2 linked regions of the Struthio camelus genome follow. The protein of the gene in region 1 interacts with the protein of each later gene in a pairwise test. Links are inferred from orthologs where the notes say so. Each region holds a gene or a part of one and is shown on either strand. Other genes may lie near its edges.

The links.
Region 2: the proteins of NUMBL (region 1) and SPSB3 interact in binary tests that used the Homo sapiens proteins (3 or more experiments, as listed by UniProt). The two-hybrid records come from large-scale screens. The link is inferred for Struthio camelus from reciprocal best matches to the Homo sapiens genes NUMBL and SPSB3.

What each region holds. Positions count from the first base shown.
Region 1 is NC_090957.1:579,077-588,590, forward strand, and holds the start of NUMBL (numb-like protein), read right to left. Parts: upstream 4,520-9,514; 5' UTR 4,394-4,519; intron 2,121-4,393; 5' UTR 2,105-2,120; coding exon 1,979-2,104; intron 1,628-1,978; coding exon 1,553-1,627; intron 1,412-1,552; coding exon 1,301-1,411; intron 1,219-1,300; coding exon 1,078-1,218; intron 251-1,077; coding exon 46-250; intron 1-45. Other genes in the region: COQ8B (atypical kinase COQ8B, mitochondrial), read right to left, coding at 6,061-6,339, 6,418-6,504, 6,579-6,644, 7,022-7,129, 7,334-7,475, 7,567-7,660, 7,791-7,872, 7,988-8,511 and 3 more. UniProt on the Homo sapiens protein: Plays a role in the process of neurogenesis. Required throughout embryonic neurogenesis to maintain neural progenitor cells, also called radial glial cells (RGCs), by allowing their daughter cells to choose progenitor over neuronal cell fate.
Region 2 is NC_090956.1:17,458,552-17,468,578, reverse strand, and holds the start of SPSB3 (SPRY domain-containing SOCS box protein 3), read left to right. Parts: upstream 1-5,756; 5' UTR 5,757-5,767; coding exon 5,768-5,969; intron 5,970-6,468; coding exon 6,469-6,617; intron 6,618-9,034; coding exon 9,035-9,212; intron 9,213-10,027. Other genes in the region: cytosolic Fe-S cluster assembly factor NUBP2, read right to left, coding at 328-397, 728-838, 1,412-1,566, 2,183-2,381, 3,110-3,228, 4,572-4,590.

The DNA.
Region 1 (9,514 bases):
CCCTTCCTCGCCCCCTCCTCGCCCTCCCGCCCCGTCCCAGGGCACCTCGCTTCTTGTCCTGCAGCTGGCGCATGACGCCCTGGCGCTGGGCCGGCTGCACGGCGCCCGGCGCCCGGAAGGAGCCCTCGCGGGCGAAGCTGGTGCGGGAGGTGTCGAAGGAGGCCGTGACGCCGCACTCCTTCTCCCGCCTCTGCTTGCGCTCCAGGCAGGCCGCGAAGGCGCAGCCCACGGCGTGGCTCAGCCGCTCGCCCTGCGGGGACGCGGCCGTCAGGGCGGCTGCGCGGGCCCCGGAGCATCGCACGCATCCGCCCCCGAGCGTCACGTGCAGCCATCCCCGCAGCAGCCCGCGCGCCCCACGGCGTCCTGCTTGCCCAGCCCTGGGGCATCCCGCGCACCCAGCCCTGGGGCATCCCGTGCACCCATTCCCGGCGCGTCCCATGCGAGCTGGGGCGTCCCGCGCACCCGGCCCCAGGGAGCCCTGCACAAGCTGGAGCATCCCATGCACTCTGCCCTGGTGTGTCCCGTGCACCCATTCCTGGTGCGTCCCATGGGAGCTGGGGCATCCCGTACACCCGGCCTCGGGGCATCCTGTGCACCCATTCCCGGTGCGTCCCATGGGAGCTGGGGCATCCCGTACACCCGGCCTCGGGGCATCCTGTGCACCCATTCCTGGTGCGTCCCATGGGAGCTGGGGCATCCCGTACACCCGGCCTCGGGGCATCCCGTGCACCCATTCCCGGTGCGTCCCATGGGAGCTGGGGCATCCCGTGCACCCATTCCTGGTGCGTCCCATGGGAGCTGGGGCATCCCGTACACCCGCCTCGGGGCATCCCGTGCACCCATTCCCGGTGCGTCCCATAGGAGCTGGGGCATCCCACGCACCCGGCCCCAGTGCATCCCACGCACAATTCCTGGTGTGTCCCATGGGAGCTGGGGCATCCTGCGCACCCGGCCCCGGGCAATCCGGCGTACCCATTCCCGGTGCGTCCCATGGGTGCTGGGGCATCCCGCATGCCCGACCCAGGGCATCACGAGCCGGCGCATCCTGCCCACCCGGCCCCAGCGCCCAGCACTCACGGAGTCCTTGAGGGCCAGGAAGCAGTGGCAGATCCAGCGGCGCGTGGTGCCATCCCGGCAGATGTAGGAGAAGGCCTTGTCAAAGTTGCGGTCGGGGGCACAGAACGAGACCTTCTCGATGGTCTGGTCGACGAGGAGGTCCTGGGCGAGGAGGGGGACGCGTGAGCCGGGGCCGGCTCCCGCCGCGCCGCCCTGGCTGGGGACACCCAGGGCACCCGCTCACCTTGGTCTTGTCGTCCACCACGCGGAGCCCGTCCGCCGACACCCACAGCACCGACTTCACGGCTTTGCGGCCGCTCTGCAACGAGCCGGCATCAGCAGGGCGCCGAGGGACCTGGCCCCGGCGGGATGGGAGAGCAACCCGTGGGAGAGGGACAGGCGTCGAGCCCCTTCCCGGGCGGCCTGGCGCTAAGTCCACCAGAAATCCGGCAGCGGTGGGGCCCCGCCGCGCGCCCGGCCCTCGCAGGGCACTCACCGCCTTGAGCTTCTTCACGGCCTCCTCGCACACGTGCATGCCCCGCGACTCGTCCACCTCCGCGTGCCCCAGGTACTGCAGAGCAGGGCGTCCGTCAGCACGGGCCGTGCCCCTGCCCCGAGCGCCCCGGCGGCCCCCTGCCCCGGCTGGTGCTTGGCCAGTGCACGAGGACCCACGTTGGGCAGCCGGTGCACGCCCCGTGCATAAGGACCTGCGTCAGGCAGCCGGTGCACACGCCATGCACGAGCACCTCACCCCGTGCACGAGGACCCACGCCAGCTGGCCGGTGCACGCCCCGTGCACGAGGACCCACGCTGGCTGGCCAACGCACACCCCGTGCACAAGGACCCACGCCGGGGGGGCGCCCGCGAACGCTGGCGCGGGCAGAGGCCGCCCCGGGCGCGCACGGCCGCCCCGCACGCTCACCCGCACGGGGAAGCTGCACTTGCCGCGCCGCACGGCCTCCTCGTCCGCCTGCCATTGGTGGGGCCGGCTGGCCTCCGGCACGTACGCCGGCTTCTTCCGACGCAGGCTCTGGCGCAGCTTGTTCATCGCTGACCCCGCAGGCCTGGGGGGGGGACAGGGGTTGGGGGGGTGAACAAGCCCCCCCTGCCCCACAGCAGGGCCAGGACGCCTGGGTTTCCCCCTTCCTCTATGGGGTGGGAAGGGTAAGAGGGTCTGACACCCCCCCCAGCCCCCACCCCAAGCAGGGACCAGGGTGGGGGCAACGGGGGGGCATCCCCTAGCTCTCCCCACCCAGGCAGGCTGAGCACCCATGGGTGGGCGCAGCAGCCTCTCCCAGTGATCAAAGCTGCACTGGGGACCGGGGGGGCCCCATCTCCTCCCGCTTTGATCTCGGCAGCTCCAGACTGAACTGGGCCATCGCAGGCTCCCCCCCCCCGGGTATATTTAGCCCAAGGAAGGGCCCCCCCCCATGCTGGCACAGCTCAGCGGGGACGCCGCGGCCCAGGGGACGTCGCGGGGGGCACATGGGACACCGCAGCCAGGGAAGGCAAACTGTGCCTGCGCCGCGCAGCGCTGGGAACGGGGCCGGGGGAGCGCCTGGCCCCCGGGCGCAGCCGCACTCCCCCCGGCTCCCGCTGCCAAACCCCCCCCCGGGCTCCGCGCCGGCAAACACCGGCCTCGGCGGTTGTTTCCTCAGCTGCTGCCCCGGCCCCACGCGGAGCGCCAGGCCGGGCGGGGGGCGGCCCCGTGCTGGGCGTCCCACGGCCCCCCAGCCCTCCCGGGGGCAGCTCCGCCGGCCCCTCGTCCGGCTCCGGGACACGCAGCGACGGGGGGCGGGCGCCCTGCGCGGGGAAACCGAGGCAGGCGCCGCGGCTGCTCCGTAGCAAAGGCTGGAAGAGGACCCAGGCGTCCTGGCCGCCGCCGCCGGGGCGGGGGCGCTTCGGGGGAATCGTGGCTCGTTAATGGACAGTAATATTTCCCGATCGTTTCCTGACTTCCTGCCTCGGCCTGGCCGGCTCGGCCACCCGCACGCTGCGAGCACGGGGGGCACCACCCAGGGCGGCCGCGGCCACCACCCCGCGCGCCCCGGGGGGCCGGGCTGCCGGGGACCCCGCAGCGGCACTGGGGTCGCCCCACCCCAAGGCCCCTCGCGCACCCAAGGCCTCGGTGCCGGCGGGATGCCGGTGCCGCCCCGGCCGCGGCGCTCGGGACGGCTCCTCTTCGCCTCCCGGAGCCGGGGAACCCGGGAGTCCTGCCGCTGTCGGGGCCCAGGCGTCCGGGCGCCCTCACCCCGCCGCAGCTGGGCAGGGAGGGGAGCCCGGCAGCGGCGTCACGCCGGGCGCCCCGGGGCGCTGCAGGGCCGCTCCCGTTATCTGCCTGCCCTGGGGCCGAACGCCCCCAAATCCCCCGGACGGGGGGCCCCGCACCCGGCGCCCAGCGAGGCGAAGGGGGCAAACCCGGCCCAGCCCGCAGCACCCGCCGCCGAGAGCTCGCGGGCAGGGGGTCCCGCCTGCCCTCCCCGGGGCGCAGGCAGGGCCCAGGCAGCGAGGGGTGGGGGCGTGCAGCCCGCTGCCCCCCGCCCCGCAGACCCCCCAGCCCCACCCGCCAGGGCCTCGCGGCCCGGCCGCGCCGCAGGTGGCCCCGGCTGCCCCGGGCCCCCACGGCCACGTGCCCCCCCCTCCCAGGGCCACGCTCATGGGGCACCGCATCCTGCTGCTCCTGGCCCCCCCAGGCCCCCCCAGGCCCAGCAGGGACACCCCACGGCCTCCTGCCAGGGACACGCATGTCAGCCCCACCCAGTGCCACACTCATGGGGTGCCACGTCCTGCTGCCCTGGCCCCCCCCAGGACGCCCCACGCGTCCCCCCCACCCAGGACCACGCGCGCGGGACGCCTCCCCCCCGCGCCCCGGCCCCACAGCCCCCTGCCAGGTCGCAGGATGCCTCCCCCCCTCCGTGGGGCCGGGCCTGCGGGCTGCGGACGCAGGACCCCACGCGTGTCCCCCCCCTCCCGGGGGGCCACGCTGCAGGGGGCTGCCGAGAGCAGCGCACCGTGGGGGGGGGGGGCCGAGGGGCAGCAGGGCCCGGCCCGGCAGCAGCCCCCACCCCTGACTAAGCACCGGGGGAGCCGCCGCGGGGGGGGGGGGCAGCCATGGCCGGGGGCAGCAACAGCAGCCGCAGCTGGCGGGGGGGAGCAGCTGCCCCGGGGCCCCCTCCGCGCCCGGACGGGGTTGGGGGGACACACACACACGGCTGCCGCTGCGACCCCCCCGGGGGAGATGCAGCCGCCCCGGTGTCCCCAGGGTGGGGGCCCAGCCGCCCCCGGAGCCCGGAACCGGGGGAAGCGGGGTGGGGGGGGCCGGTGCCCCCGGCCTTACCCCGCCGCAGCGCCGAGGCTCCGCTCCGCTCCGGCAGGACCCGCCGCCGCCCCCGGTCCCGGCGCCCCCCCCCCCCCCACCCCGGGCCGGGCTGTGGCTACAATGTTGCACGCACGCGCCTTCCGCTTCCCGCCCGCGGCCACGCCCCCCTCATGCATATGCAAACGAGGTGTTCCCCCCCCCCCCCCCCCGCGGCGGCTCCCCCAGCCCGCCGTGGCGCGGGGGCGGGCGCACCGCAGCGGTATGCAAATATCCTCCTTGGCCCCGCCCGCCCCGAGGCCACGCCCACTCCACCGCCCCATTCGCCCCAACGCGTGAATATGCAAATGAGACGCCCCCGTCACCGCCCCCCCATTGGGAGGGGCGCAGGCGAGACCACCACAGCCCCGCCTCCATTGGCGCGAGGGCTCATGAATATGCAAATTAGATCGTACCTGATCACGCCCACTCATTTAGATGGAGGCCCCGCCTCCTCCATCTGGTTCCCTCATACACGCAGCTGGGTTGTCCCCCCCCAACGCCAAATCCCCCCGCCCCACCAGCCTGCCCCAAATCACGGACCTCCCGCCCCAAAACTGAGCCCCCACAACCAGCCTGCCCGCCCGCCCCAAAACACAGACCTCCAACCCCAAATATGGACCTCCTGCCCCAAAACCTATTCCATACCACCAACCTGCCCCAAAACACAGACTTCCTGCCCCAAAACCAATCCTGTACCACCAATCCGCCCCAAAACACGGACCTCCTGCCCCAAAACTGATCCCATACTACCAACCTGCCCCAAAACACAGACTTCCTGCCCCAAAACCAATCCCGTACCACCAATCCGCCCCAAAACACGGACCTCCTGCCCCAAAACTGATCCCATACTACCAACCTGCCCCAAAACACAGACTTCCTGCCCCAAAACTGATCCCGTACCACCAACCCGCCCCAAAACATGGACCTCCTGCCCCAAAACTGATCCCATACTACCAACCTGCCCCAAAACACAGACTTCCTGCCCCAAAACCGATCCCGTACCACCAACCTGCCTCAAACACAGATCCCCTGGAACACAGACACCCGCCCCAAAACAGACCCTCCCAACCCCACAAGATCCCATAAAACCACCCCAAAAACCAGGCTACAAGGTCACCCCGGCTGGGCACAGCCTGCCCCAGCTCGGGGGAAAGTCACCGTCTTTATTGCCCGCGGCGGGAGGAGGGAGGCTGCACGCGGGGCCGGGACCAGGACTGGGGCCGGGAGCGGGGCCAGCAGCAGCGTCACGGGGCCAGTCTGGAGGCCAGTGGCGCACGGGGGGGTCCAGGGAGACCCCAGTCCTGCTCCAAGGGTCCATGGGGGATCCAAGGAGACCCTGGTCCTGATCCAAAGACCCTGGTCCTGCTCCAAGGGTCCGCAGGGGATCCAGGGAGACCCCGGTCCTGCCCCAAGGGTCCATGGGGGTCCAAGGAGACCCCAGTCCTGCCCCAAGGGTCCACAGGGGATCCAGGGAGACCCTGGTCCTGCCCCAAGGGTCCACGGGGGTCCAAGGAGACCCCAGTCCTGCCCCAAGGGTCCACGGGGGTCCAGGGAGACCCCAGTCCTGCCCCAAGGGTCCACGGGGGTCCAGGGAGACCCCGGTCCTGCCCCGGGGCGGCTGCCCTGTGCCGAGTCCCCGCGCGGGTCTACGGCCGCGGTGCCCAGTACCGCGCGTAGAGCTCCTCAAACATGTCGCGGCAGGGCACGCGGGCCCGGAGCCGGGCGCACACCAGGAAGGATCCGGCCATTTTGCGGTGCAGGGAGTAGGTCTCCTCCGGGGGCGGCGTGAGGCGGTGCCGCAGCATCACCGGCACCAGGGCCTGGATGCGGCGCGTGGTGCTCTGCGCCCCGAAGTCGAAGGGCCCCGCCGAGGAGAAGGCCTCGCCCAGGATCATCACAGCGTCCACGTGGGCCGCCTCGAAGGCCTGCCGGGGCGGGCACGGTTAGCGCCGGTGGCGGGGAGGGGGTCCCGGACCCCCCGTCCTCCACCCCGAGAGCCTCACCTTGGTCTCAAACCCCGTCAGGAACTTCAGGTCTTTGGATTTCTGGAGCACCTTGTCCCGGTCCCCGTCGGCCGCGGCCCTCACCACCTGCCGGAGGGAGGGCGTGAGGCGAGCCGGGGCGGGAGGGCCCCGGCGTCCGGCCACGCGAGCGCGGCCCGTACCTCGATGTAGTGGTCGGTGAACTCCTTGCCGAAGGAGCGGCTGGCCCCGAAGTCCAGCAGAGCCACCTGGAAGGCAGCAGGGACGGGGAGACGGACGCTGAGGACGGACAGGCCGGCCCCGCGCTCCGCTCCGCTCCCCTCCGAGAGCTGCCGCCGCGTCCCAACCCACTCCGCGGCGCAGCGCTTCCCAGCAAGCGGAGCCCCTCCGGAACTCATCCCCGGGGCCGGGGGACGCTCTGCCCCGGGCCGCAGCGGGGAGAGGAGGAACCAGAGGGAGCGGAGACCCTCAGTCCCGGCCACGCGAGCCGCGACCCGCCGGCGCAGCACGAAATTCGCAAGGCAGGAAAGCGGAGCTGCGCCTGCTCGGCCGGGACGCGCCGGGGGAAGCGGGCGCCCGCGGGGCCCCGGCCGACCCTCGCCCCGGGACAGGGCGGCCGCCTCACTCGGTGCTTCCCGGCGTCGTAGAAGAAGTTGGCCCAGTTGGGATCCGTCTGCATGAAGCGAAACTCGAAGAGCTCCCGGAGGCAGAGGCGCAGGATGTTGGAGCAGATCTGGGGGGCGAGGGATTATTTTGGACGAGAGAAGAGCAGGGCTTGCTCCAGGCAGGTCCCAAACCCGCGGGAGGGACGCGGCGGGGGCTCGGCCGCCGCCTCGGCACGAGGCGAGAGCAGCTTTCGGCACCGCGCTCCAAGAACCCAGAGGCGCCGGGTCCTTCCCGGGCCCGGCCGCGACCCGGCTGCTCGGGGACCACTCGCCTCGTCTCGGACGTCCTGGCTGAGCTCCAGGCACCGATCCAGGGGGACGCCGCTCACCAGCTCCATGGACAGCACCCGGGCCGTGGTCAGCTCGTCGATGACGCGCGGCACCGCGAAGAAGGGGTCGTCCCGCAGCAGCTGCCTGGGGGGGCGGCGGAGGCGGCGGTGCGGGGAGGGGCTGCGACCGAGCCGCCCCCCACGCCAGCCCCTGACGGCCCCCGCCGCGGCGGTACCTGAACGTCCGGGCGCAGCCGGCTTCCCGGTGATAGTCGCATTCCCACTCCAGCTCCTTCTGCAGGACCTGCAGGGTGTTGTCAGCGAAGAGGCCTCGGGGAGGCGCGAGGATTTAGGGGGCAGGCAGCGGCCCCCCCAGAGCGGGCAGGGGCCCCTCCCCGAGGGCAGGCGCTGGTGGGGTCAGGCCCGGGGATGTCCCTTCTTCCCGGGGCTCGGAGCTCACCTTCCGGCAGCGCGACGCTCATCTTGAGCAGCGAGAGCAGGTTGTCCACGTCGCTGCGGATGCTCTGGGCGATGCCGGGGTACTGCGGGGAGGCACGGGAAAGGGTGGACCCGGGGGTCGCGGCGCCGGGGACGAGCCCCGGCTCCCCCCAGCCCTTCGCTCCCCGTCTCCGACGCTCCAGCGCTGCCGCGCCTCACCTGGATTTTCACGGCCACCTCCGTGCCGTCCCGCAGCACGCCGAGGTGCACCTGCCCGATGGAGGCGGCCGCGAAGGGCGTCTCCTCGAAGGCCGACATCTTCTCCCGCCAGGCGGGTCCCAGCTCCTCCGCCAGCACTTGCTGCGGCACAGGGAGCGGGCGGCACGCGCGCTGGGACGCGCACGCCTGCGCGCTGGGACGCTCGGGCTGCCGCCTCCCTGCCCCAGGCCAGGGGAACGCGACCGCCGGGCGGCACCCGACGCGAACCCGGGGCTCCCGGGCCGAGCAGCCCCGAGGCAAAAAATCCTCCAGCCGCCACCGCGAGGCGGGGAAGGTTGGGAGCGCCGGGACGGCTGGGTCGTCCCGCCGGTGGCGGGGAGGGAGGGAAGGTCGCGGGGGGGCCGGCGCGTGCTCGGCGTGGGGCACGGAGCTACTCACGCTCGTCTGCCAGCTCGGCATGAAGTCGGCGCTCTGCCGCACGCGCTCGAAGATCCTCTGCAGCTGGGGGCTGAGGAAGCTGCTGTCTGCGGGGAGAGGGCGCGTGCCGGAGCCGGGGCCCAGCCGCAGCCACCCCAGGGCTGCCCGGCGCGGGCCCCCCCGGGGGGGGGGCGGTGGGGGGCACCCTACCTTGGATGCTCAGCATCTGCCCCAGCTTCAGCGCGGCGCCTCGCACCCGGCAGAGCGTGTCCACGATGCGCTCGGCGTTGGCCTCCGACAGGAAGGGGCTGGAGTCCAGCAGGGAGCCAGCGGCTGGGCGAGGGCAGCCCGCGTGAGCCCCCGCGGGACGGGCAGGGCCGGGGGGGCCGCCACGCAGGACCACCACCACGGGGGCCCCCCCCCCCGCCCCCACCCCGACCTGCGCCGGGCGCCGAGCCGCAGGCGCGTCCCGGTACTCACGGCTGGGCTGGCGCTGCCCGCTGAGCGTCGTCCGCGCCGCCTCGGCCAAGGCGCCCAGCCCCAGCCCCACGGCCAGCCCTGGGGAGGGACAGGGCGCGGGAGCGACGCGCTCGCCCCCCCAGAACCAGAGGCTCCTCCCGCCCGCCCCGCTCCTCCCGTACCTCCGAAGCTGGCCAGGCGGCCCAGGCGCGAGGCGGGCACCCTCCGCTCCCGGGCCCTGTGGCTGAGCTGCCCGGGGGAGGCGCGGGGCTGGCAGGGGGGCGCGCCGGGGGGGCACGGCCCTGCCCGCCCGCTCCCTGCCCTCGGCGGCGGCGGTCGCCCCCGCTCCTCGGCTCCCGCCTGCTGCCGGGCTTCCCGGGCCCGTCGGACGTCGTCGGGCGCCAGCGCCTGGAGGGCCGCGTGCCGGTGCAGGGAGCGCCCGGGGGGCGCCGCGAGCTGGGTGGGGAGGGCAGAGGTGAGGATCCCCCCCCCGCTTCCGCCCCACGGCGACCCCCAGGGCGTGGGGCAGGGCTGGGCACGGGAACGGGGGGTCGAAGGGTCCCCGTATGGGGGGGAGCAGGGGGTCAGAGGTCACAGGGTCTTTAAACAGGGGGAACCAAGGGGTCAGAGGTCTCTGTCTGGGGGGGGCCA
Region 2 (10,027 bases), on another chromosome or scaffold:
AGGTTCCATCATGTTTCAGGACAGCTGTGGGACTACGGGCTTGATTACTCTGCCACCGCGACATCCGTAGCCAGAGCAAGCTGCCAGGCATCGCTGCCTCTGCTCCAGATGGGCCAGATGCCCAGCGTGAGCATTTTGGATGGCAGAGAAGAGAAGCAATAGCCGCATCTTGCCTCTGCCTAGGCCCCAAGGGCTCACAGGGACCCAGAGCCCAGCCTCCCTCCCCTGGTGGTACCGCATCTCTTCACTCAAGCACTCCTCCACTACCATGGCACTGTATGGACATCACCTCTAACCAAGGAGGGCTCTGCTCAAGAGGCCACTCACCAAGGAAAGGGACCCCAGCATGCTTGGCCAATTCTTCACCTCCCCCTTTGGAAAAGATGTTTGTGCACTCCTAAAGGAGGAAAAGAAATAGCAGTTAGTCATAAACACCAGTGGGCAGAGCCCTGTGCAACAGGACAGGCGCTGGTTGGGTGTGAGCGAAGCTAACTTCCTCCACCTTCTAACCTCAGGGCACTGTGTTCGCCCCTGCCCTCCCACAGCTCTCTTTAGGAAAGCACAGCTGGCAGCTTCTTCCAAACCTCCAGCCAGGAGATTCTCATCTCCCAGGACACCGCATCGCCCCTCACAGCATTCACTGACTTGCAGCCTGAGGTGCCAGATCATATAACAGCCATATCATGAATAAGAACCCATAACAGCCCAGCAGTATCGAGAAACTCACCGAACAGTGCGGGCAGACAAAGCCACTCATGTTCTCCACGATCCCAAGAACTCGCAAACCGGTCTTTTTACAGAACGTCAGCTCTCGCCTCACATCCCCCACAGACACTGCCTGCAGGGGAGAGCAGGCGAGGGTTAGGGGTGTCTGTCTCTGGCCAGATTCTAGTTCTGGAGCAGGCATACACGCACACAGACAGTTTGTAGCACGCATAGAGAAGGGGGCTTGGGAGAGGCTCTCTCCCCATTGCTGGCCATAGCTTGGGCTAAGAGTCCTCACTGCACTCCAGAAGAGCTGACCACAGGCAACACACTGGAAGATGGGCGACAGTGTTGCACGGTTTGAAGGGGTTGGGCAGTGGCTGCAGCAAGACCTGCGCTGAAGTGACAGATGCGCTCAGCTTCCACCTTTCCAGCTGGCCTCACACTTGGGCAGCCCCTGGCTGAGTACAGGCTTGTGTGTAAACAAAGGCAGATATCGGACAAACTTGGATTTGAGAGCAGCCTTGACTCATAAGTGACTGACAGATGTCAGAGATGTCCTGAGGGACAAGCAGTGGCTGCATCGGGGGTAGAAATGTAAAGTAAGTAGCCGCAGATAGGCCTGCGAAAACACCCACCCTCGAGCGCATATTCCCCCACCAACCGAGCCCAGAGACAGGGCAGGTCACCCAGCACGCTGCCCTACCTGAGGTGTCGTGACTAGGATTGCTCCAAGAGGCTTGTACGGCCGCAAGGCCTCCACTGTGGAGATGTGCTCATCAGATGTGCCCGGAGGAGTGTCCACAATGAGAAAGTCCAGTTCCCCCCAGGCCACATCAGCAACAAATTGTTTTATCAAAGCTGCAGAAATAAAAGGGGTGAAAAATCTCAGGTTTTAGCAAGTGTCCTGGGAGCCGTGTGGTCAGGAGGCATCCTGGGGGGGACAGAGGAGAGCAGGGCTACCTGTCAGCAGAGCACATGCAGCACAGCCTGAACCACCTGCACCCACACAGGGGAAGACAGCCCTGGAGTGCAAGAGCCTTGTCTTGCCCCAAGTCACTTGGAGCCCTCTCTCCAAGGCTAATTGGACTCCACAGTACCTGGCTACATACAGAGACCTCACTAAGGCAGCAGGTCACTGATGTGTGCCAAGGGGACAGCCCTAACCCACCCAGACAATGTAACATGGACTTACCACATTGGAGATATTTTCATTGCTAATGAGGTCTCAGCTGAGACCAGCAGCGATAGAGCACAGCCTCTCCCCCTGCCATTTACATCAGCTGCCTCTAAGCCACCGGCCTCTGTCCCAGGAGAGAGGCTTTCAGACTGCAGCCTACGTTTGAACACAGGCTGCCAAGGAACAGCATGTCTGGGAGAGCCTGGGCCCTGGACAGAACAAACATCAGCTCCAGGAAGTTTTGCAGAAGGCACGTAGCGCTGGAAGGTTGTTACCAAGAGCAAAAACGGTCTGTACCATTTTTCTTGGGTCCTCTCCACACCACAGCATCATCTGGCTTCTCCAGCAGGAAGCCGATGGACATCAGTGAGATGCTTTTGTCTTGGTCCACGAAGACTGGCACCCAGCCGCTGTCGCATTGGTGCACGTCATTGTCCTGGACCTTGAACATGCGGGGTATGCTGGGGCCACACAGGTCCACATCCAGGATCCCCACCTGCAGGCGACCAGGCAGAGCCTTTCAGATAGGCCTGAGCACCACTGTAGCACCCAGCTGCGCTCCTTCCTTGGGCAAGGGAAAGGAACACATGAATTCCAGCAGCTCTCAGCACTTCACAGAGAGGACTCTCAAGTTCAGAAGCCAAAGTGCCAGTTCTGACTGGTATCATTTGACTAGGGTCTCCCAGATCTCCATCCTTCCATGGAATCTCTCTTTGGTATTTAGAGGCTCTTTAAGAAAATCTTTATTCAGGAGACCTATCAGAATTTAAGTGGCATCTGCTCCACAGAGCCTTTAAAAAAATCCTCAGTCTGTCTCATGCCCACGCAGCTCCCCTTTGCCCCCACGGTAATGCTGTCTTTCAGCTCACTCACTTCACTCCACAAAGTGGCTGTGTATCATACAAAAAAAGCAAGTCATTTCTTGGTGCCTTCATTTTACACATGACAAAAATAACATTTTAGTCTCCTGGGTAAAGGGGAAGTGAACCGTGCAATTTGCTAGAGGCTGGACTGTGCAGGATCAAGTAAGCACAGGAAAAAAAAAAGGACTCAAGTTTCTGTTATAGACAGCTCTTCTGTTTACGGCAGCAGCCTCCACCATGAAGGATCTTCACGCTGTGCTCACAGAACAGACACACGCAGAAAGGCTGAGTAAAACCAAGCCCAGATGGAGGTCAGAAGGGAGAGCACATAGAGCTCCCCATCCCACAGACCCTCACTCACCTTTTTCCCAGAGTGGCGCAGAGACAAAGCCAGCTCGGTGGCGATGGTGCTCTTCCCCACGCCGCCCTTCCCCGAGAGCACCAGGAGGATGTGCCGCACCCCTGCCAGGTTACTTCTCTCTAGGAAGAACAGTAACAGGACATCAGACTCTCTTCTTGACCTCAAGTTGTGCAGGCAGCAATGCCCTGACCAGCCAGCTCAGAGCCAGCCTCCACTGCGCCAGTAACGTGCTGCAAACAATAACAGCAGCTGTCACCAGCTGAGATGAGATGATGCAACATCAATAAGCTTGTTTTAAGCATAAGAAAACAGGGCAGAAAAATGGTGGATTTGACATAGACCTTCTGCTATGAGGAAAGGGAAGATCAGAGCAACAGCAAGACCAATAAAGAGCCTGTGGAGAGTAAAAATTTTGACCCGGTGACCTATGCAGTACTCAAGCAGCAAAGTAATACACATCCAGAGAAGGACTTTGTCACGCTTTGCCTGGAGCAGATTTTAATCTGAGCTCCTCGCAGGAATTGCCATGAGGCTTTCTGTGAAATCACCCCCTCGGCATTTCCTCTCTTTGCACCATGCTGCTCGCCCTCCTGGGAGGCCCGGGTCACCTCGAGCCTCCTTGCCGCGCTGTCAGCGTGCGTTTTGGTCTGAGCGGCTCCCGCTTAGGGCTCTGCCGCCGCGAGCTTCTGACGCGGAGTACAGTTGAAGAGGGAGAAATAAAGAGGAGAAAAACCCGCCGGCGCCGGCTCCCGCGGGAAGCGCTAACGGGGAGACAGGCCGGGGGGGCGGAGGGGGGCGCTGCCGGCGGGAGTCCCCGGCTCGGAGCCCCGGGAGCGCGGGGCAGCGTCGGGGGCCGGCGCGGGCAGGCGCCGCCCAACCCGCCCCGCGTTCCCGGGCGGCCCGTCACCGCCGCCCGCCTGACTCAGAGCCCCGGCAGGCGTCCGGCAGGTACCCGCCGCCCGGCACCGCGCCGCGCCGCCCGCATGGAGACCGCCCGCACCATGGCGGACCTCATCCGCACCTCCACCGACGGTAACGGCGGGCGGGACGGGCGGGGCGTTACGCGGAGCCGCGTCGCAAGGCGGCCCCGGGAGCTCCGGTCACCCCGGCGCTGCCTCCGCCGCCGCCGGGCCCCGCCACACCGGGCCCCCTGGCGGGAGCCGGGCACCGGGAGACCCGAACCCCTGCCAGGCCCCACCGCTGCGGCGCTCCGGCCGCCGGGATCCGGGCCCCGCCGCCCAGGCCCCGCCGCCCAGGCCCGTCCCCGTCCCGCCTAGGGCTCCCCCCACCGGGAGCCGGGCCGACGGCCCCGCGCCCGCCGCCCGCCCCGGGGCTGCCTCCCCCGGAAAGGCCGGGACGAGGCCGGAGCCCCCCCAGCCCCTGCCGGCGCCAGTCCCCGGCAGCCCCCACCCCGCGGGGAGGGCAGGAGCACCCGGCGGCGCGGCCGCGGCCCCACACTCACCCCCCACCGCCTCCTCCATGCTGCTGCCCGCCTCGCTTCCGCCTTCCGGCGGCGGAAGCCCCGCCCCCCGCAGAGTGGCAGGCACCTCTCCCAATCGCGAGCCACACACGCTCCTCTCCGGCCGCCGTAGCTACGCCAAGCTGCTCTCTCACCCCCGTTCCCCCAGCCTCCAGTCTCGATGGGCGTCGCGGCCAGCCAATGAGCTTAGCGCTTTGCCCCGCAGCGCGCGATAGCCGCCAGCGGTCGCCGCCCAATGGCGCGCCGTCTTTACGACTGGCAGGCAGGGCAGCCAGTGGCGTGGCGCTGAGGGCGGGCGCCTTCCCCGCCGCGCCCTCCCCCTCGCCGCAGCCGTGAGCGGCGGGGCGCTCCGCCAACCGCGAACGCCTCCCGCCGGGATCCGGCGCGGCTTCAGCCAATGGGCGCGGGGGGACGGGGCCAAGTGTGGATTGTTTATGTCCCGGGAGGGGAAAGTAGGTCAGAGCGCGGCGGCCGGGCCGGGCCGGGCCGGGCAGGTGAGGCCGGGGCCCGGGGCGGGCGGCGGCGAGCGCAGGGGCCGGGCCGGGCCGGGCCGGGCCGGGCCTCGTTCCTCGCTCCTCCCTGGCGTCCGCCGCTGGGCCCCCCGGGGCCTGGCCTGGCCCGGCCCGGTGCGGGGCCGGGCGAGGCGGCCCTGCCGTACCGGCCCTGCCGTACCGGCCCTGCCGTACCGGCTGCGGCCCCGCGGCCGCTGGCGGGAGCCCCGGGCTCGGCGCGGTGCTGGGAGAAGGGAGCGGCATGTCTGCCTGCCGCGGGCGCTGCGCCGGGCCGGGGCCGGGGCTCGCGGGCGGGGTGCGAGGCCCTGTCCCAGGGAAAGGTGAAGCGGTGGAGCGAGCGGGGGTGCGCAAAGCAGCTGAGCGCGGCGGGGAGCGGGGGGGCTGCTGCCCGCCCCGGTGGGCCCGTGCGTGCGGCCTGGCCAGCCGGCGGGGCTGAGCTGAGGGAGCGGGTTTGGGAGGCAGGCGGCGGCTTACAGCTCACGGCGGGGAGCTGTTTTGGCTAAAGTAAACTCCAGGAGAAATGAGTTTGCACATCAAAGTTGTGCTGTCACGTTTCCATCTGCTGCAAAGCTGAGGCATGATGCCTGAGAGCGTGTTTGGTCTGTCGAGCTGGCTGCAGGGCCATGTAAGTCTGTCTCTGCGTAGCGTTGCTGCTCAGTTCAGGACATGAGAGTGTCTTTGCTTCTGTCTGCTGTCCCTGAGGCAAGTCGGGACAGGCCCCCGGAAAGGGCATTTTCCCTTCAGCAAGCAGGAATGAAATCTCTTCCCCCACTCCCAAATGCTGAGAGCAAAGTCTTTGCTGAAGTGTCTCCTGCTCACAGCCCGAACAGGCAGTTGCTTGGCGATGAACAAACAGCATTTGCAGCAGGTGGGCGCAGGCAGTTTGGCCCACGTGGTGGCTGCAGCGATGGCCAGGGTGGTGCAGAGGGCTGAGCGGTTCGGTCAGAGCCCAAGCAACTGCTCAAGGGTTAGCGGGCACAGGGGAGGCCGTGTCTTGATGACTGGTGATCCTGACTCTCTTCAGGCCAGGTAGATCCTGGATGGCAGCTGCTGCCAGATCCTAGGAACGGTTTGGGGGATCCAGCAAAGTGGCTGGGCTCAGGGAGAAGTTGACCCCAGTATTTGTCAGGCAGTGTGCGCTGTGTGGCAGAAGAAGTTGAAGTCTGCAGAAGCCTGTGGTGCCAGAGGAACTTACTTTACTACTGTGTCCATTGATGGCGACTGTAAAGACACGGTTCATGCTGATCTGTTCCCGTGTGGGGTCTGGTGACTTGGGGGAGGTTGCTGCAGAGGTAGAGCTGGGTGAGTGGCGGGTGGAAGAGGAACGCTGCTGCTGTGTGTAACCCCTTCTCCCTTGGCATCCACAGCTTACCTCTCTCGGAATACCATGGCGCGACGCACGCGTAACAGCAGGGCCTGGCATTTCGTCCTGAGCGGGGTGCGCCGCGACGCAGACACTCGGGCAGTCGCCTTGGCCACTGGTTCACGGGGCCGGGGCTATGACTCCGATGGGCAGGTAGGTAGGCAGGCCAGCGTACGGAGAGCTTGAAAGTGACGCAAGGGGAAACCTTCCTTCTCCCCCTGACGTCAGGCATTGGTTGCTCAAGGTCTGTGTATTGAGCAGCTAGTATTTCCGCACCAAAAAACTGGCCCAAAATCGGAAAAGACCCTTACTAAGTTTACAGGCATTCTAACCAGATGGAGGCAGTTGTTTGTCTGGCTCCGAGTTCCGCTAACGCGGGGTGTAGGACTCCCAAGCGTATCTTTCCACAACAAGAGCTAGCTAAGCAGCTTATAGCCTGCTCCTGCCGTTGTGCAGTAGAGCTCTGTGCCTTGTGGTTATTTGGGCCAACGGAACTGATTGGTACTAAGCTAAACTTTCTCTCTTAACTATATAAAGTGTGTGTATGTAGTGTATATAGAATATTTTTGACATGTACTTTTTAAATAGTGATCTAAATACATGTTTAAACTAGATCAGTTCTCCAGTCTGGCCTGCTGTATGGCCATGCTAACTTCTTGTCCTCATGCAGCTGTTGCTGGAGGGAGCAGGGGCTGCTTCATATTCAATTCATGCTTGAATACTTTCTAATTTAAACTCCCTTATGCTTCCAAACCCATAATGTGTACATCACTTCTGAATCTGGCCCTGGCATGCTGATACGCTGGAGGACAGGAATACAGTGGGGAAAGCAGTCAGTAAAACAGTGCAAGGAGTGAATTAGACTCACCTCCGCCTCCTTCACCCCTTTTCCCCAGTCCTTGAGTATGTTGAGTTCTATCCCCAAGCAGTGTGCACTGGTGGAAACCCAAGGAGCTGCTCCGGATGCTTAAAAGATAGGCTCAAGTGTTATAAGGTCACTGCCAGAGCACTATGTCCGAATCTCTACGCAGCACTCCAAGAAAAGGAGCCTTTTCTCTGCTGTCAGAGTAGCTTTTCCTGCAGTAATAGGAACAGCCAGATCTCTAGAGAGCAGTAGTTCTGGAGGGGCAATGAAAGGCAGAAGTAAAGCTCCCTAATCTGCAGGGCAGATTTAGAAAAGGAGAAGGGGGGTTGGCAGTAGATAAGTAAGCCTGGGTCATTTCAAGTCCCACTGTCTTGCACAGCTAAAGAAACATGAGTTTAAAAGGGTTTTGCCTTTAAACAGGGATTACAAAATCTGCCATGGGCATTGGGGTGAGGGTGAATAACAAGCAGGTATATCTGACCAGCGTGCAAACCCAGAGTAACTTGCTGAGGTCTAGAGTAAGAGACTCCATTAGGTGACACCAAACCTCCCATAACGCATGGGCCAGCACACAGCTCTTATAGCGTCCAGTGCAGGTGACACCAAATCTCCCATAACGCATGGGCCAGCACACAGCTCTTATAGCGTCCAGTGCAGGTGACACCAAATCTCCCATAACACATGGGCCAGCACACAGCTCTTATAGCGTCCAGTGCAGGTGACACCAAATCTCCCATAACACATGGGCCAGCACACAGCTCTTATAGCGTCCAGTGCAGGCACACTTCAGTCTCCTGGCATTGGGGAATAGCAAATCAAGTTTTTGTGTTCGTGCATGAAAGTAAACAAAAGCCTTTTACTCCTTCAGTGGGTTCCCTGTGGGCCTGTCTGCAGTACTGGTATGAGGAGCCGCAGCCTTACTGCTTAACTGGTTCTGCTTTGTTCTGCCAGCTCCCCTGCCTGGCCTCCTTTTTTCCCCTTTTCCTTCTCGTCTTGTTTATCTGTCTTCTCCTTCAGTTCTTAGTCTCTCTAGAGCAGAGGTTTTTCAGCAGTGTGGCTCTCTTCTAGCTTGGCAGTAGAGGCCCAGACTCCTTTGGAGCTGTATAGTTTCTGCATACAGCATTGTATATGTGTGCGCTTTATTTGTGATGCCTTGGATATGGCCTCCAGTCCTCCCAGGAGTCTGTAACCTGCATGTTGAAAACCTCAGCTCTAGCACAGAGTTTCCTTAAATAAGTATGCCATGCACTGTTCAGAGCTTGTCATGTTGCTTGCCTGCTGTGCCCCTTCCTACCTCCTTAACCCCCGCAGTCATGGGGGCTTCTGTACATGGCAGGGCCCTGGAAGCTACAAAGGCACAAAGAGCATATCCACATCGTACGGTGCCTGGTTCCACGAGATCCTGCCCAGTTTTGGGGGGAAAGCTCTGCAGCACAGCCAGATACTAGCCAGGTCCTAGAAGCAGGGTGTTTTCACTGGCGCAGCCCCTTGCCTCCGTGCAGGACAGGCCAGGCCTGGGCACAACACAGCCATGCTGCTGCTGGCTCTGGAGCGAGCTTGGGGATCTCTCCACGTGGCTCTGTGCTGTGCGGGTGTCCCATGAGCAGCCTGGCTGTAGGGAGAGCAGGCCTATCTGCTGGCTGTGAGTCTAGCTGTCTGATTGTGGGGGTGTTTAGTAATGACTGTTCCTCTGTTCTCCCGGCAGCACAGCGACTCGGATTCGGAGCCAGAGTTTTCTTCCCTCTCGCCCTCCATCCCAAGCGCCATCCCCGTGACCGGAGAATCCTACTGCAACTGCGAGAACCAGAATGAGGCTCCCTACTGCTCCAGCTTGCATGCCATCCACCGCGTCAAGGACTGCCAGTGCGGCGAGGAGGACGAGTGTAAGCAAGGGGCTCCTCAACTGGCCTTCGTGTTCCTTTGGGGTTCGTGGTGGGTGCGGTCCTGGCTCCCCTCCTGTTGGTTGAATGGTGGCACAGACCACCTCCCCCGTACAGATGCTTAGGTGTGCACGGGGATCCTTATTGCTATCGCTGCATACGGTGCTCCTCTGTTTACATCTCAAGGCTGTGCAGAACTTAGGAAGGTTACAAGCCCGTGCGTTCTGTGGTGATTCAAGAGCTCAGGGCTGAACCTGTCGGTGAATCAGAGTTCACCTCTGGAGACCTGCTTTCACATCTAGCTCAGGCCACAAATGGAAACTGGCCCTTGTGGTTACAGCCCTGTTAATGCTGATCCCTGGTACAGCTGGCAGGCCCCCAGATACGTGGCAGGGTCTACCCAGAGCAACTGAGGAAAGCTAGGCAGAGGGTGGGCCTGGCCTGACCAAGAAAGCCTGTAGGATAGAGGAGCTATCATGGTGCTTGTGCTCTGCCTTTAGCCCCTTGAGGCTACAAGAAATGAGTGTGATTCCCCCCAAAGAAACCCGGGGCTCCATGTGGCTCTGCACTGCTGTTGCTGTGACTAGAGCCCAGCTGAGTGACTGTGCAGCTTGCTCTTCCAGGCTGGGTTTGGTTTGCCAGGCCCTGAGAGCTGTATCACCCCCTCTCCTTCTGCTCTCAGCTTGTGCCCAGCCACGTGCACCAACGGCACCTGGAATGAGGGGACCACAATTGCTGAGGCTGGAGAAGCCACTTTGCAACGGCCACCCTGTGCTCTGAGATGAGAACTGGTTAATGCTGGCAGCCTCAGGCAGGAG